3 linked regions of the Notamacropus eugenii genome follow. The protein of the gene in region 2 interacts with the protein of the main gene of each other region in a pairwise test. Links are inferred from orthologs where the notes say so. Each region holds a gene or a part of one and is shown on either strand. Other genes may lie near its edges. The genes, in order: ENTR1, AP1M1 and TGOLN2.

Region 1 (4,313 bases), on a different chromosome or scaffold from region 2:
AATGCTCAAACTTGGGGCAAGGCCCTGTCGACCCACGTGCCTCCGTTTTCTCCTCCGTTAAACAAGCGGGCTGAACTCCTCTTTGGGCTCTCCCGAGCCTCAATCTAAGTGGTTTACACCTGCTCATGCACAGGATCCTGCTTTCCCATTTGCCCACTTCCACGTGGAAACGGCTCCGATGGGTCCCAGCCTGTCCCGGGCAGGGGAACAGACGAAATGACCCCCGACAGGCTCCGAAAGGGGCAGGTTCCAGAGGGCGGCGCCGCGAGGGCCGGGAGCGAGGGTGCAGTCACTGGCCGGGCCCCTCGGAGCCTCCGTCAGGGTTCCCCCCCGCGGGGCGTGGGGCAGGGCCGGGCAGTCCTGGCCTTTCCCCGCACTTGGCCCCGGTCCCTCCATCTCTGCCCGTCAGGCAGTCCTCGACTCTTCCCCCTCTCACCTCATGCGAGAGCGATCCCAGATGCCCCGTCCACGCAGCACGGTAGCTCCCGCCGCCGCCGCCATCTTGCGCCTCCGCCCAGCGCTTCTGCGGTCACTTCCGCTTCCCCGCCCCCTCCCGGCCACGCCCCCGCGGTCTGGCAGCCAGTCTCCGCCCGCGCGGCGAGAGATCGCGCTTCCGGCGCCCGGTGGGCGAAGCGGAAGGAGGCGGGAGGAGACCGGAAGGCCCGAGACGAGCTGAACCGGGCGGAGCCAGGTCAAGCTGAGCTGAGCTGAGCTTAGACGAGCCACCCTGAGCCTATGGAGACCAGGTAGTGGAGCTCTGGCCCCGTCCACGGGCAGAATCGAGGCCGTGCGGGGATGTCTGGCTACACCCGCCGCACGGGGCTCACCCCGCTGTCTCGAGCCCGGAGCCTCATCATCCAGGACGGTGAGACCTAGCGACCGAGACTGGCAGAGCGTCCCTCCGTCCCTCCCCTCCGCACCGGTGTAGCGGCCCTGCCTTAGGCGCTAGGCATCTAGAGATCTTCTAGGCAGTCCGCTCCGAGTACAGAAGTGGAAGTTGAGGTCCGAGACTGGCCCAGGTGGGGGTCGCTCCTGCAGGGAGGCTTCCTTAGATTTCCTCGGCCTCCGGGGAGCCTTCCAGGCCCGACTAACTAGCCTCTGATTATCCATAGGAGAATCTCACCCCGGCGTAAGGGAGGACGGGGAGGGGGGAGTCACTTAAGGTTGCAAACTAGTTTAAAGATACCGTGTTCTCGACTGCCCGTTTTGTAGAGAAGGAACAGGACCTTTCCGAAAGACGTTTCTCTGAACCACTCTGATTTCCCTTTGTCTCTTAATTTTGTATCTGAGTCTTGAATCACAGACTCACCCAGCCTGGAAGGGACTTTAAAGTCCCAACCATTGTCCATATGGGGAAATGAGGCCCAGAAGAGGCAGAGGTCTTGCCCATGTTACTATTAGTTGGAGACACCACCTTCTCCAGGGAGCCCCTCCTCTGAAGCTGTTGTATAGAGCCTTACCCCGTTAGAATTCCAAGAGCTGTGTAATGGACTGTATTCAGCCAGTACCCTCTAATTGTCCATACTGGGCCATAGAATCACCCATTAAAGAAAGGAATATAGAAAAATCTAAATTCTAGACCCAACCCCTCTCAGTGATAGGATGGGAAAAGACAGGAGCACATAAGGACTTGGTGACAGAGCTGTGATTTAAACTCATAGTTTCCCGTTCCAGGCTTGTTATCTTTTTATCCCACCACACTTGTGCATTGGGATCTTTCAAATGGGAGTACTCAATGTTCGAATTGAATTGTGTCTTATATTCTAGTCATTTGAGTTCCTTTTGTGTACCCTATGCTACATGGAACTTAAGAAGGGATGGAGCACTTAAACTGCCCATTTGGATATCCGGTATTGCTTTATGACATCTTTTTAAATTATTAATCTTTTATGTGTATAGATTGTAAGTACTTTCGGGATTGAAGCTATGACTTGTCACTCAAATATTTACCTTAGGCTGCTCTGGGAGAGGTGCTGTCTCTGTTGTCAAGGAACTTAAAATCTAAAAGTATTTATTGCCTGTATTATTTACATTGCCCTAATCCTAAAGTACTTGGTGACATGTTTCATTCTTTACCTTTTTACTTGGACTTGTCTTATTCCCCTAACTAAACTCTTGAGACTGTGTCATTTTCTGTTTTATTCTCTTCAGCACCTAGTACTGCATTATGTACATAGTAGATACTCAGTAAAAAGCAAAGAAGAAAAATTAATGAGATTCAGAACATCTCTGAAACTCAGACAAAAACATATATGAATGGGATTCATGTCAAGGAAAGATTGCTATGAGGTGGTGAGGTCTGGGAAGGAGATTAGAGTTGGGCCTTGAAATATGGATAGGATTTGGATAGGCCCAGGTAAGGAGGAGAAGAAAAACACATGGGCAAAAAGTGTGGAGGTGAGAAAACACAAAGCAGGTGGGGATGATGAATAAATGAGTCTTCAACAGTGTTTGGGGGCAGAAGCATCCAAGAGTTGAAGGTTAGATCTTGTATTTGGGGTAGGAGGGAGCTGAGGGATGAGGAAAGCAAGAAAACTGGAGACTTGTAGCAACTGATAGAAATGCATAAAATGCTGAAAATCAGGATAATGCGGTTAACTACATGTATGGGAGACTGAAAGAAGTAGAAAACTAAAGCCAGTCACAGAATAGATATGGAAACTTGAGACAATTGCCAGGTAAAGTCTTCTGAGGTAAAGGAAAAAAGAATGAAAGAGTTTAGAATGGAGTTACTTGTAGAGGTATCTTGTTGCTGGTAACTTAAGTTTCTTGTGTCTTAATTGTACCTCAGTTCACTTCAGTTTAGCACTTACCTTGTTAAAATCAATTATCCTGAGTCACTATGGGGCTTAGTGTTCCTAAATCTGGATTAGATGATATTGCTTCTAAAAAAAAAACTAAAAGGAAGATTCCTGTCTAGTAAATCTGAATCACTTTAAAGCATTTATGAAATATGCTTTTCTTATTTTAGATGACAGTGCTGAAGATCTGGATGAAGCAAATCCATTTTCCTTTAAAGAATTTCTGAAAACCAAGAACCTTGGCCTGTCCAAAGAAGAGACAACCAATGCTAGAATTTACACTAAGGTAACTTAAAGGAATTTCCATTTAAGTTCAATAAGGGGAGAAAAAAATCTCAATGAATTTTCACTACTGGTTTACATTTTCTCATAGGATATTGTTAATCATGGAAGTGTTTGGTATCAATGATAGTTAAGTTTTACAATAATGTCACATGTAGATGATTTATCCTTCCAGTGTTCCATCTCTCTTCTCAACTTAACTCTTATAAATGAAGTATTTTGTTGTAATGCTGAAAAAATACATTGAATATAAGACTGTAAAAAATTACTAATTACTAATATTTATTAACCTAGACTAATAAAGAAACTCTTCAATGTAACTTTTGACTTTCTTCTTTGTTAGGAATCTACAAGACATACATTAGGACTTGAAGATAATTCTCCACCTTCTAAATCTGTAGGATATGGTTTAGACTATGAGGAACCTTTTTTCCAAGACCCAACTGGTGCTGGAGATTTGCTGGATGAAGATGAAGATGATGACTGGAGTGGGACTTACCGGCCAGCTACCATGGAACAAACTCATGCTTCCAGAGTTGCTACTAGCACATCACCACATAATCCATATATTTCCTTTTTTACCAACACACCCGAACTGTCAGGCATCGAGTCTCTTGCTCCATGGACCTTAAATGATAGTGACTCAGGTGTTTCTCCTACATCTCAAGGGAACAACACAAACAAAGAATTTGTTGCTCATGGAGAATACTTGGGAGATAGGCATTTTCGGTCGCTGCAGATAAGCTATGAAGCAGTAAGTGTGGATGGAATGCTCTTCACCTACCTGATAAACCTCAAAAGTCTTGGGAAGTCTCTCGTGGAGAAAAGCTAGTGATCTTGCTTTCCTAATGGCCTCTATGGCTTTGGAGCAAAGGACACAATCAGCCCTAATGTGCTACTACAGCTTGTTGCTGTTTACCATGGTTAGTTATTTTGGCGTTGCTCACAGATATGAATGCAGCTGCTTTAAACAGTATTGTGTAATGAATGCAAGTACAGGAGATGTGAGTACAATAGAATACTTGTGTCAAGCTGGATAAAACATCTTAGAAACCTAAACATCTTTATCCACTGTCCTAGATTTCTTTATAAATAAGAAATTTTGTGACTAATTGTATGCAGGCTGTTGACCAGTTTAGAATCTTGAATTTCTCATTTTAATTTTCTTTTTCTGCAGCTTAAAGAAGAAAACTCTAAGCTAAGAAGAAAAATTAATGAGATTCAGAACTT
Region 2 (4,313 bases):
AAGATTACAGGATCTAAACTGGAAGGAACCTCAGAGATCATCTAATCGAGCCCATTCTCTGAAACCATTAGGTAAAAGAAGTAAGAGTATCTACATTAGATACCTTGGTGGGACCATAATCACTGTCCTCAAAATATCTAAAGATTTTCATATGGAAGAGGCCTCAGACTTATTAGGTGACCCCAAGAGCTAGGTATCTAGAGTCCTAGATTCTGGTCATGCCTCTGTCGCTCCTTCTTCTTCTGTGGTGTTCTGAGCTCCTTCCTCCCTCTGGACTTCTGCTCCTTCATTTGGAAAATGAACAACTTAAACGGACAAGTATGGTGGTGTGATTGTGAGGATTTGCTGACAAGCAAGGAAGGGGAGGGGAGCTATTTTTTAACTTAGGTCTAAGAGTTTTTTCCTAAATGATAGAATTAATGAGTTCACTGACCTAGATTAGAAAGACCCTTTCATCACAACTGATGGCCAGCAGTGAGTACCTGAGAGGAAGTCTGACAATACCTGTTGAATCTACTCATTCAATTTTATTAAACATTTCAAAATGACTACTATATGCTGAAAGGATGTAAGTTTCTTGAGGGAAGAGGCTTTCATTTTTGTCTTTATATTTCCAGTACCTGGAACATAGTTAATACTTTATAAATGTTTGTTGATTGATTACAGGATCTTCTACTGTTCTGCAGAGGAGATTTCTTTTTAATTCGATACAAATCTACATAAGGCGTATAGTAACACTTAAAAGGGCTATAAGAATGTCAGCTATTATTAATAAAAGGCAATTGATAAGAACTCTCCCAAAACTGTTCATTAACAGTATTTAAAAATAACAAAAAAAGTTTTATTTATAATAACAAACTATGTGTCCAATGATTGGCTAGCTGAACAAATAATTCTACATGCATATAATGGAAAATTATTAGGCCATAAAGAGTGTCAAATGTAGAGAATTCAGAGAATTATAAGACTCATATGAAGTGATACAGAGTGAAGGAAGCAGAGACAAAAGAACAACATATGCAATGAGAGTAAATACAATTAACACTGGAGAAGCAGTAAAATTCTGGTAAAAAACAACGGTCAATGTAATACTGCCCAAGTTAAAGGACACACCTTACATTTCTGTTAATAATCAATAAACTTACTTTTCTTCTCCAGGGAATGTACTTTGTGGAGGGATGTGGTTGGGTATTTACTGGGAATTATATGCAGCATCAAAAAAGATGTCAAATAATTTATTTAAGCCAAATTGAAGTACTGTAAGAAAGGTACTAGAACACTAAAAGTCAGAATGAACTAAGACTGTCAAGGAAAGCTAAGGACAACAAAAAAAGATTTTTAAAAGCTATACTGGAGAAAAGAGTTAAGAAGTATTCAATGTAGATGGGACAATGATAATGAATGGAGAGAAGACAATTATTCAACTAGGACCTTACTTCTGTTTCTGTGTTAAGGAGAATGGTCTTTGGACTGGAAAGGACAGAACAAATGGAGAGACACTGAAAGAGTGGTTAGCTGCCCTTGATGAGTTCAAGTGACCAGGCCCAGGTAAATTACATTCCAGGCTAATGAAAGAACTTTTGAATGCTATTTCTGAGCCACTATCAGTCATCTTTAAAGGATCAGGCAGAAGAAGAGGGGTGTTGGGGCTAGAGAAAGGCAAATGTCTCTTATTTTCATAAAAGGGAAAAGAGTAGAATATGAAACTCATTGTCCAATAAGCTTGACTTTGACTCCTAGAAAATTCTAGAATGTGTCACTGAAAGGGGTCTATCTTCAGGTGGTGAACATTTAGAAAAGAAAGTAGTAATCACAAAGTGTCACACTTTCACCAGAAACAGGTCATGCTAGACTAACTTCATTTCCTCTTTTGATAGGGTAGATCAGGGGACTGTGATAGATACAGTTTACTTCTCTGCATTTGATGAAGACTCTCATGCTATTTTTGAAGGCAAGATGGAGAAGTATGGGCTTGGCAGTAACACAATTAGAAGGATTTGGAACTGGCTGAATGGCCATACCCAAAGCACAGTAAAAGACTCTCTACTGCAGTGTCCATTGAATCTGTGCTTGGCTTTGTAATATTGGACATTTTCATCAATAATCTGGAAAACGGTGCACATGGCACACTTATGAAATAAGCACAAAGCACAAAGCTAGGAGAGACAGCCAATAGGTTAAATGGCAGAGCTAGGAATCCAAAAAAATACTTGACAGTCTAAGACACTGGGCTAAATTTAATAAGATGAAATTTAACAGATTAATGCAAAGTCTTCCACTTGGGTTTAAAAAGGTCAGCTACTCAAGCTGGAAGAGGCACGGCTAAGCAACAGTTCATATGAAAAAGATCTTGTGGTTTTAGTGGGCTGCAAGCTGAATATATGAGTCAACAGGGTGACAGGACAGCCGAATGATGTTAAACTAAGAAGCACGGGTATTCAGAAAGGGGGAGCAGATAGATATTCTCTGCTGAGTTTACTCTGTTTTGGTCAGACCATATTTGGAGTACTGTTTGATTTTGCACGCCATGTTTTAAGAAGGGCATTAACAAGCTGGAAAATGCCCCAGGGAGGGGGAAAAAGAACTGTGAAGGACCTTGAATGCACATCAGGGGATGACTGGTTGGAGGAACAAGGGCTCTTTAGCCTGGAGAAGAGCTTTAGGAGGGATAGGACGGTTGTCTTCTACTATCTGAATGGCAGTTACTTGGGAAGAAATACTTGTTCTGTTTAGACCCAGGAAAGAGACCTAAGGACAACGTGGAAGCTGCAAAGAAGCCATTTCAGTCTGGACCCTAACGACGAGAGCTGGCCCGAAGCGCGGCGGAACCCACTAAGACGGAGACGGCTGGAAGATCGGCGGCCTGGGACGCCAGGTCAGCACCGGGGGGGACGGCACTCACCACACAGCCCAGGGCCTCCACAGCCCGGCACCACCCTACTTTTTCACGCGTTCTTCCCCCCTCCACCATCGGAGCTCCGGTCGGACAGGGCCCCTCGCCCTGCGGCGGCACCGTGGCTTCTGCCCTCTCATCCCTATGGCCTGAGGGCCCAGTCAGGCGCCTTCGCTCTGTGCGTCTCTAAGGCACTGAACGTGGACCTTGGCACCATTACCACCAGGGCATTTTCTCTCTCTCCTAGCCCTGCCCGGCGCCCTCCTCCAGAGGAGCGCGCTGGGGCGAGAAGGGCGCCGGCTGGGTCGTGGGAGGCCCTGGGTTCAAATGCCATCGGATGCTCCGCGTCTGAACCGTGACGCCCCTTCCAGCTCGACGTCTGGGGTCCCACGGCAGAGCTGGCACTGCCTCTTGCCCATCTTCGGTATCCCCAGAGTTTAGCCCAGGGCCTGGCACACTGTAAAGTGCTCGTGGATGGCATGGGCTGCCCCGGGGCTGGGGCTGCCACCAGGACAGGCAAGGCGGCGGTCAAACACTGACAGGGTGACAGGGACCGCGAGCGGGTGGGGGAAGTCCCCGCCCCTGCCTTGGGGAGGGGCCGTTACCAGGCAACGCGGAGGGGGGAAGCGGCGCGGACCGAGGCCAGGTTTCCCTACCTTGCCCTTTAGGTCTAGCACATACACGGCGCTGGCCGACATGGCGGCGGCGGCGGCAGCGGCGGGGAGGGGGCGAGGTGGAGGGCGAGGCGCGGCAGCAAGAGAGGCGGCGGCACCGGGGCGAGCAGGCGGGCGCACCCGACCCGCGGCACCTCACTTCCACTTCCGCCCTGGAACCGTTATGTCCGGCTTGGGAAACGGCCTTTGGCCTCTGGCGCACGCGCAGGGGAGGGAGGGCATGGGCGTCCGCTCCGTGCGCGCGCCGCCGAGGCGCAGGCGCACTGAGCTCCGATGAAGCCATGCGTCCTCCCAGAGCTCAGGCGGCAGCGAGCTCAGGCGGCGGCCCAGCCCTGGGGCCGAGGGGGAAACCTCGAGAGGGAGGAGATGGAGGAGACGGAGAGTGACGGAGCCTGCCAGGCCCCGCAGATAGTCATAATATCCGTAACGGTGGCGCCGGAGGGCAGCTTAGAACTAGAACGTCAGAGCCGGGAGGGCCCCTAGAACAGGGAACGTCAGAGTTAGGAGGGGCCCCTGAACTGAGAACGTCAGGCCCGGAGGGGCCCCTGGGGCAGGGAACATCTGGGCCGGGAGGGGCCCCTGGGGCAGGGAACATCTGGGCCGGGAGGGGTCCCTGGGGCAGGGAACGTCAGACCCGGAGGGGCCCCTAGAACAGAGAACGTCAGGCCCGGAGGGGCCCCTGAGGCAGGGAACATCTGGGCCGGGAGGGGTCCCTGGGGCAGGGAACATCTGGGCCGGGAGGGGCC
Region 3 (4,313 bases), on a different chromosome or scaffold from region 2:
TTGTAAATTAAAACATCATAACATTATTATGAAAATAGTTTTGACCACACATCACCATCCACCAAAGGACCTTGGGGATTTCCAGAGACAGCCTTGGGGATTCAATCACACTTTGAGAACCACTGGTCTAACATGTTAACAGGAATAAAAATAAATAAATCAAGAAGGATAATCCAGAACCATACTGTGAAGAGCTATAAATGTTAAGCTGAAGTTATTTTATTCTAAAGAAATTTAATGGAATTTAGTCAACTAATTAAATTAAATTTAAAATTGTCAGCTCCTTGAGATGAGGGATTGATCTTTGCTTTTTTGTATCCCCAGTGCTTAGTATAATGCCTGGAGCATACTAGGCACTTCATAAGTGTTTACCGACTGACTGACTAAAGCCAACAAGGAGTCATTGGACTTTCTTGTGCTGGGGGAAGCAGGGTGAACAGGTTAGAGCTCTCCCCAGTCCTTGTGGTAGTTTTGATAACTATTGATAACTTTTTGATAACTATTCTTGCTAAGGAGGTGCTAAGCTCTGTTGTCTTCTTGGCACAGATGGCATCGAAGTACCAAATATGGTGCCCTGAGGCAAAGCCTTTGTAAATCTGGCCTAATTTCAACTCTAGCTGTTAGACACGAACTTGACACACAAAAAAGGTATCAAGAAAGATTTATTTAAAATGGAGTTCAGAGTAGGGAAGGCCTACATTCCTTCCCTGAAGAAATGGGTAGCTTCCAGCATGACCATGAAAGAACTACAACCAGGTCAGGATGAGACAGGACCCTTATAGAATTCTGAATTTTGGATTTCCCTCGATACTGTCCCCTGGCCATGTGACTTCAGGTTCTCCTCTCTGATAGGCCCTTCCTCACACAGCTCCTTGGGCTTGCACATTAGTTTCTGACCTCTAACCTGTCCATGCTAGGTCACAACCCCTATCACCTAGGAATGTGGACAACAGAACTTTCTTACTTCCCACATGGTGAACACTCTGATTCTCACCCTTCTAGGAACAGGTCTTCTTGGTAGCTGAGTGTACTTGCAAATCAGATATTGGCTTCCTATCCTCGTCTTGGATCCAGATGGCTTAAGCCACCAAGGAGGAACTGACAAGGGCTAGAAAGGGGAATAGGATGGATGAAGTTCTGAAATCCCCCTAAGACTCCTCCGAGTACAGGGGCAGGTCACCTAGAATGAATTCCCATACTCAAGCATTCTTGAGGTCAAGATAAAGATTTATTATGCTTTTCAGTGGGCAAGAGTTCTTAGGGAATCTGTGGTTTGAATGTGGTTAGTTTATATAGGATATTGTATAGTAAAACATGTGCCAAATATGCTAACTAGGTTATTCACTGTGGGATTCAGGAGTTTTTAGTGGTTAGTAGTTACGAACATGCACTTTTGGTATCTAGTATGCAGGTATTTTTACCCAGAGTTCATCTGAAAAAAGCCCAAGCAGGGGGCTACATGGAGGTGGTGTTTTATTCCTGAAAGATCACTAAGAAAACTAACAGTCAGGACTAACTAAGGAATACCAGCCTACTCTCATCAGTGTCTTGTTAGACAAGATAAATGTATGGGAATATATGTATGTCTAAGTCTAGGATACATATAATTGGTCAGTGAGTAGTAAATGTCATTATGACCCAGTACACAGCTGGTTCAAACTAATAAGTTATATAGGTGCAGCTGGCTGTTGTATCAGGAAGAGAGAGTCTGCACCAGGGTTGAAGCAAAGTTAGAGAAGAGTGTTGGAGAGAGGCTGAGGAGGTGAAATGTGGGAGAAAGGATGCAGAAGTGAAATTGATGAGAGAGGATGGAGAAGTGAAGTCTAGGAGAGAGGCTACAGAGGTGAAATTGATGAGAGAGGATGCAGAAGTGAAATTGACTAGAGAGGATGCAGAGGTGAAATAAATGAGAGAGAGGATGCAGAGGTGAAATTGATGAGAGGCTTTGGAGGTGAAATCGACAGGCCTTGGCCACAACTTGGCTATGGGGCGTGAGAGAGGGAAGTGTGCAGGAGGTCTCCTGAGGTGGGGCCTGAGGCTGGGAGATTGGGAGTGCCTTCCACAGTGAAGGGAAAGGGAAAAAGGATGAGGGTTTAGGGAGGGGAAATAATGAGTTCCGGTTTGGACAGAGTGGGCATAAGCTATCTACTGGACATCCAGTTCAGAGGCGCAGAGCAGGAAGCCCCCTCTATCAAAGCAGGTTGGTACCTCCCTGCCACGTAGAGCCCTAGAGAGTGGTCCAGAGATCACTGGTTGGGGAAGTGACTTTAGCCACTACTGATGAGAGACGGAATTCAAAGCCCGCCGTCCAGGACTGGCTTAAACTAGCTAGCCCCTAGAAAGGGCTTACTGAATCTAAAATGTGTCATGGGGCGTGGTACGGGGAGGCCACACCCCTAGTTACGCCCTTGGGAGGCGGGGCAGGAGAGTTCGCGCGCTCAGGACGCAAGGCGGGAGCGCCCAGGCGTGACGTCAAGATCCTGCCTCAGGGCCGCTGATCTCGCGAGAGTGTGCGTGGGCGGAAGCGCAGTGGCTGCCGCAGGATGCGGTTCCTGCTCTGGTTCGCGGTCCTGTGGACTATTTCTATCGCGACCGGTAAGTACCCCACCGCACCCTACCCGAATCCTGGCCCAGCCCGGCGCTGCTCCCGCTCGGCCCCTAGGGCCCGGCCCCGAGCGGAACTGCGGCCTCCTCAACCGCCTCTTCCCGCTCCAGGCCCTGGGCCTGGCTTGAGGCCGGACCGCGCCCTCCGGGCTCCTCCCTCCCTCCGTCCTGGCCTTCCGCCCAGGCTCGGCCCTCCCCGCTGACCTTACTGCCCCGTTCCCAGGCAGCCTGCCCCCCCCCCCCCACACACACACACACACCTGTCATGACTCCCACCTCTCGTTTTTCCCTCTTCAGGAGCTGGCGACAGCGTCAAAGAGGATGCAAGGGATGGAGGAGGAGGGTCCAGCATCCTCAGGGACCCCAAGAATGAGGGGAGCACACAGAACGCCGCTGACCATAATGATCAGGCCCCTGACGCTGCCATGCAGGGGTCTTCCAACCCCTCACTTGGCACTGGAGATAAGTCTGAGAATGCCAAAGAAGATAAGTCGGTCATCCCAGAAAAGGACAAGCAGACCAGCCCAGAAGGGGCTGAGAAGGTCAACGAAGGAGAAGCCAGTCAGGGGACTGACACAGGAGAGGACAAGCTGCCCAAGCAGTCACAGGCCAAACAGTCCACCCAAGGAAAAGCCAGGCAGGAGACTGACACAGGAGAGGACAAGCTGACTGACCCGTCACAGGCCAAACAGTCCACCCAAGGAAAAGCTAGGCAGGAGACTGACACAGGAGAGGACAAGCTGACTGACCAGTCACAGGCCAAACAGTCCACTCAAGGAAAAGCCAGGCAGGAGACTGACACAGAAGAGGACAAGCTGACTGACCAGTCACAGGCCAAACAGTCCACTCAAGGAAAAGCCAGGCAGGAGACTGACACAGAAGAGGACAAGCTGACTGACCAGTCACAGGCCAAACAGTCCACTCAAGGAAAAGCCAGGCAGGAGACTGACACAGAAGAGGACAAGCTGACTGACCAGTCACAGGCCAAACAGTCCACTCAAGGAAAAGCCAGGCAGGAGACTGACACAGGAGAGGACAAGCTGACTGACCAGTCACAGGCCAAACAGTCCACTCAAGGAAAAGCCAGGCAGGAGACTGACACAGGAGAGGACAAGCTGACTGACCAGTCACAGGCCAAACAGTCCACCCAAGGAAAAGCCAGGCAGGAGACTGACACAGGAGAGGACAAGCTGACTGACCAGTCACAGGCCAAACAGTCCACCCAAGGAAAAGCCAGTCAGGAAACTGACACAGGAGAGGACAAGCTGACCAACCTGCCACAGGCAAAACAGCCCACCCAAGGAGAAGCCAATAAGGGGACTGACACAGGAAAGGGCAAATATGAAGCTAGCACAGGAGAGAACAAACATGAGACAGACATAGAAGAAGATAAGCATGAATTAAACCCTGATTCTGATAAAGAGTTTCTTGAATTTAGTCCTAGTGAAACTTTTAAAGAAGAGTCATCGAAAACAGACACCATTGTGAATCCTCCAGCAGGTGGTATTGAACATGGCAACTCTTATATGAAGGAAAATTCAGAGAGCAGCCACTTTTTTGCATATTTGGTCACAGCGGCCATCCTGGTAGCTGTCCTGTACATCGCCTATCACAACAAGCGGAAGGTAAGTTCAAAGTTTCATTAGGAAGGAGATTTTGTATTATGTAGGTGCCTGTCAGCAACTTGAGATTTTAGGTCCACATTGCGG

What was found.
Region 1: the proteins of AP1M1 (region 2) and ENTR1 interact in binary tests that used the Homo sapiens proteins (3 or more experiments, as listed by UniProt). The two-hybrid records come from large-scale screens. The link is inferred for Notamacropus eugenii from reciprocal best matches to the Homo sapiens genes AP1M1 and ENTR1.
Region 3: the proteins of AP1M1 (region 2) and TGOLN2 interact in a two-hybrid assay, tested with the Homo sapiens proteins (2 studies listed by BioGRID). The link is inferred for Notamacropus eugenii from reciprocal best matches to the Homo sapiens genes AP1M1 and TGOLN2.

The regions. Positions count from the first base shown.
Region 1 is NC_092872.1:489,738,738-489,743,050, forward strand, and holds the start of ENTR1 (endosome-associated-trafficking regulator 1), read left to right. Parts: upstream 1-1,572; 5' UTR 1,573-1,735; coding exon 1,736-1,850; intron 1,851-2,971; coding exon 2,972-3,087; intron 3,088-3,426; coding exon 3,427-3,837; intron 3,838-4,260; coding exon 4,261-4,313. Other genes in the region: PMPCA (mitochondrial-processing peptidase subunit alpha), read right to left, coding at 437-501. UniProt on the Homo sapiens protein: Endosome-associated protein that plays a role in membrane receptor sorting, cytokinesis and ciliogenesis. Involved in the endosome-to-plasma membrane trafficking and recycling of SNX27-retromer-dependent cargo proteins, such as GLUT1.
Region 2 is NC_092875.1:59,290,956-59,295,268, reverse strand, and holds the start of AP1M1 (AP-1 complex subunit mu-1), read right to left. Parts: upstream 3,011-4,313; 5' UTR 2,972-3,010; coding exon 2,903-2,971; intron 1-2,902. UniProt on the Homo sapiens protein: Subunit of clathrin-associated adaptor protein complex 1 that plays a role in protein sorting in the trans-Golgi network (TGN) and endosomes.
Region 3 is NC_092872.1:727,222,920-727,227,232, reverse strand, and holds the start of TGOLN2 (trans-Golgi network integral membrane protein 2), read left to right. Parts: upstream 1-1,703; 5' UTR 1,704-1,843; exon of another isoform or gene 1,844-2,489; 5' UTR 2,490-2,543; coding exon 2,544-2,595; intron 2,596-2,901; coding exon 2,902-4,229; intron 4,230-4,313. UniProt on the Homo sapiens protein: May be involved in regulating membrane traffic to and from trans-Golgi network.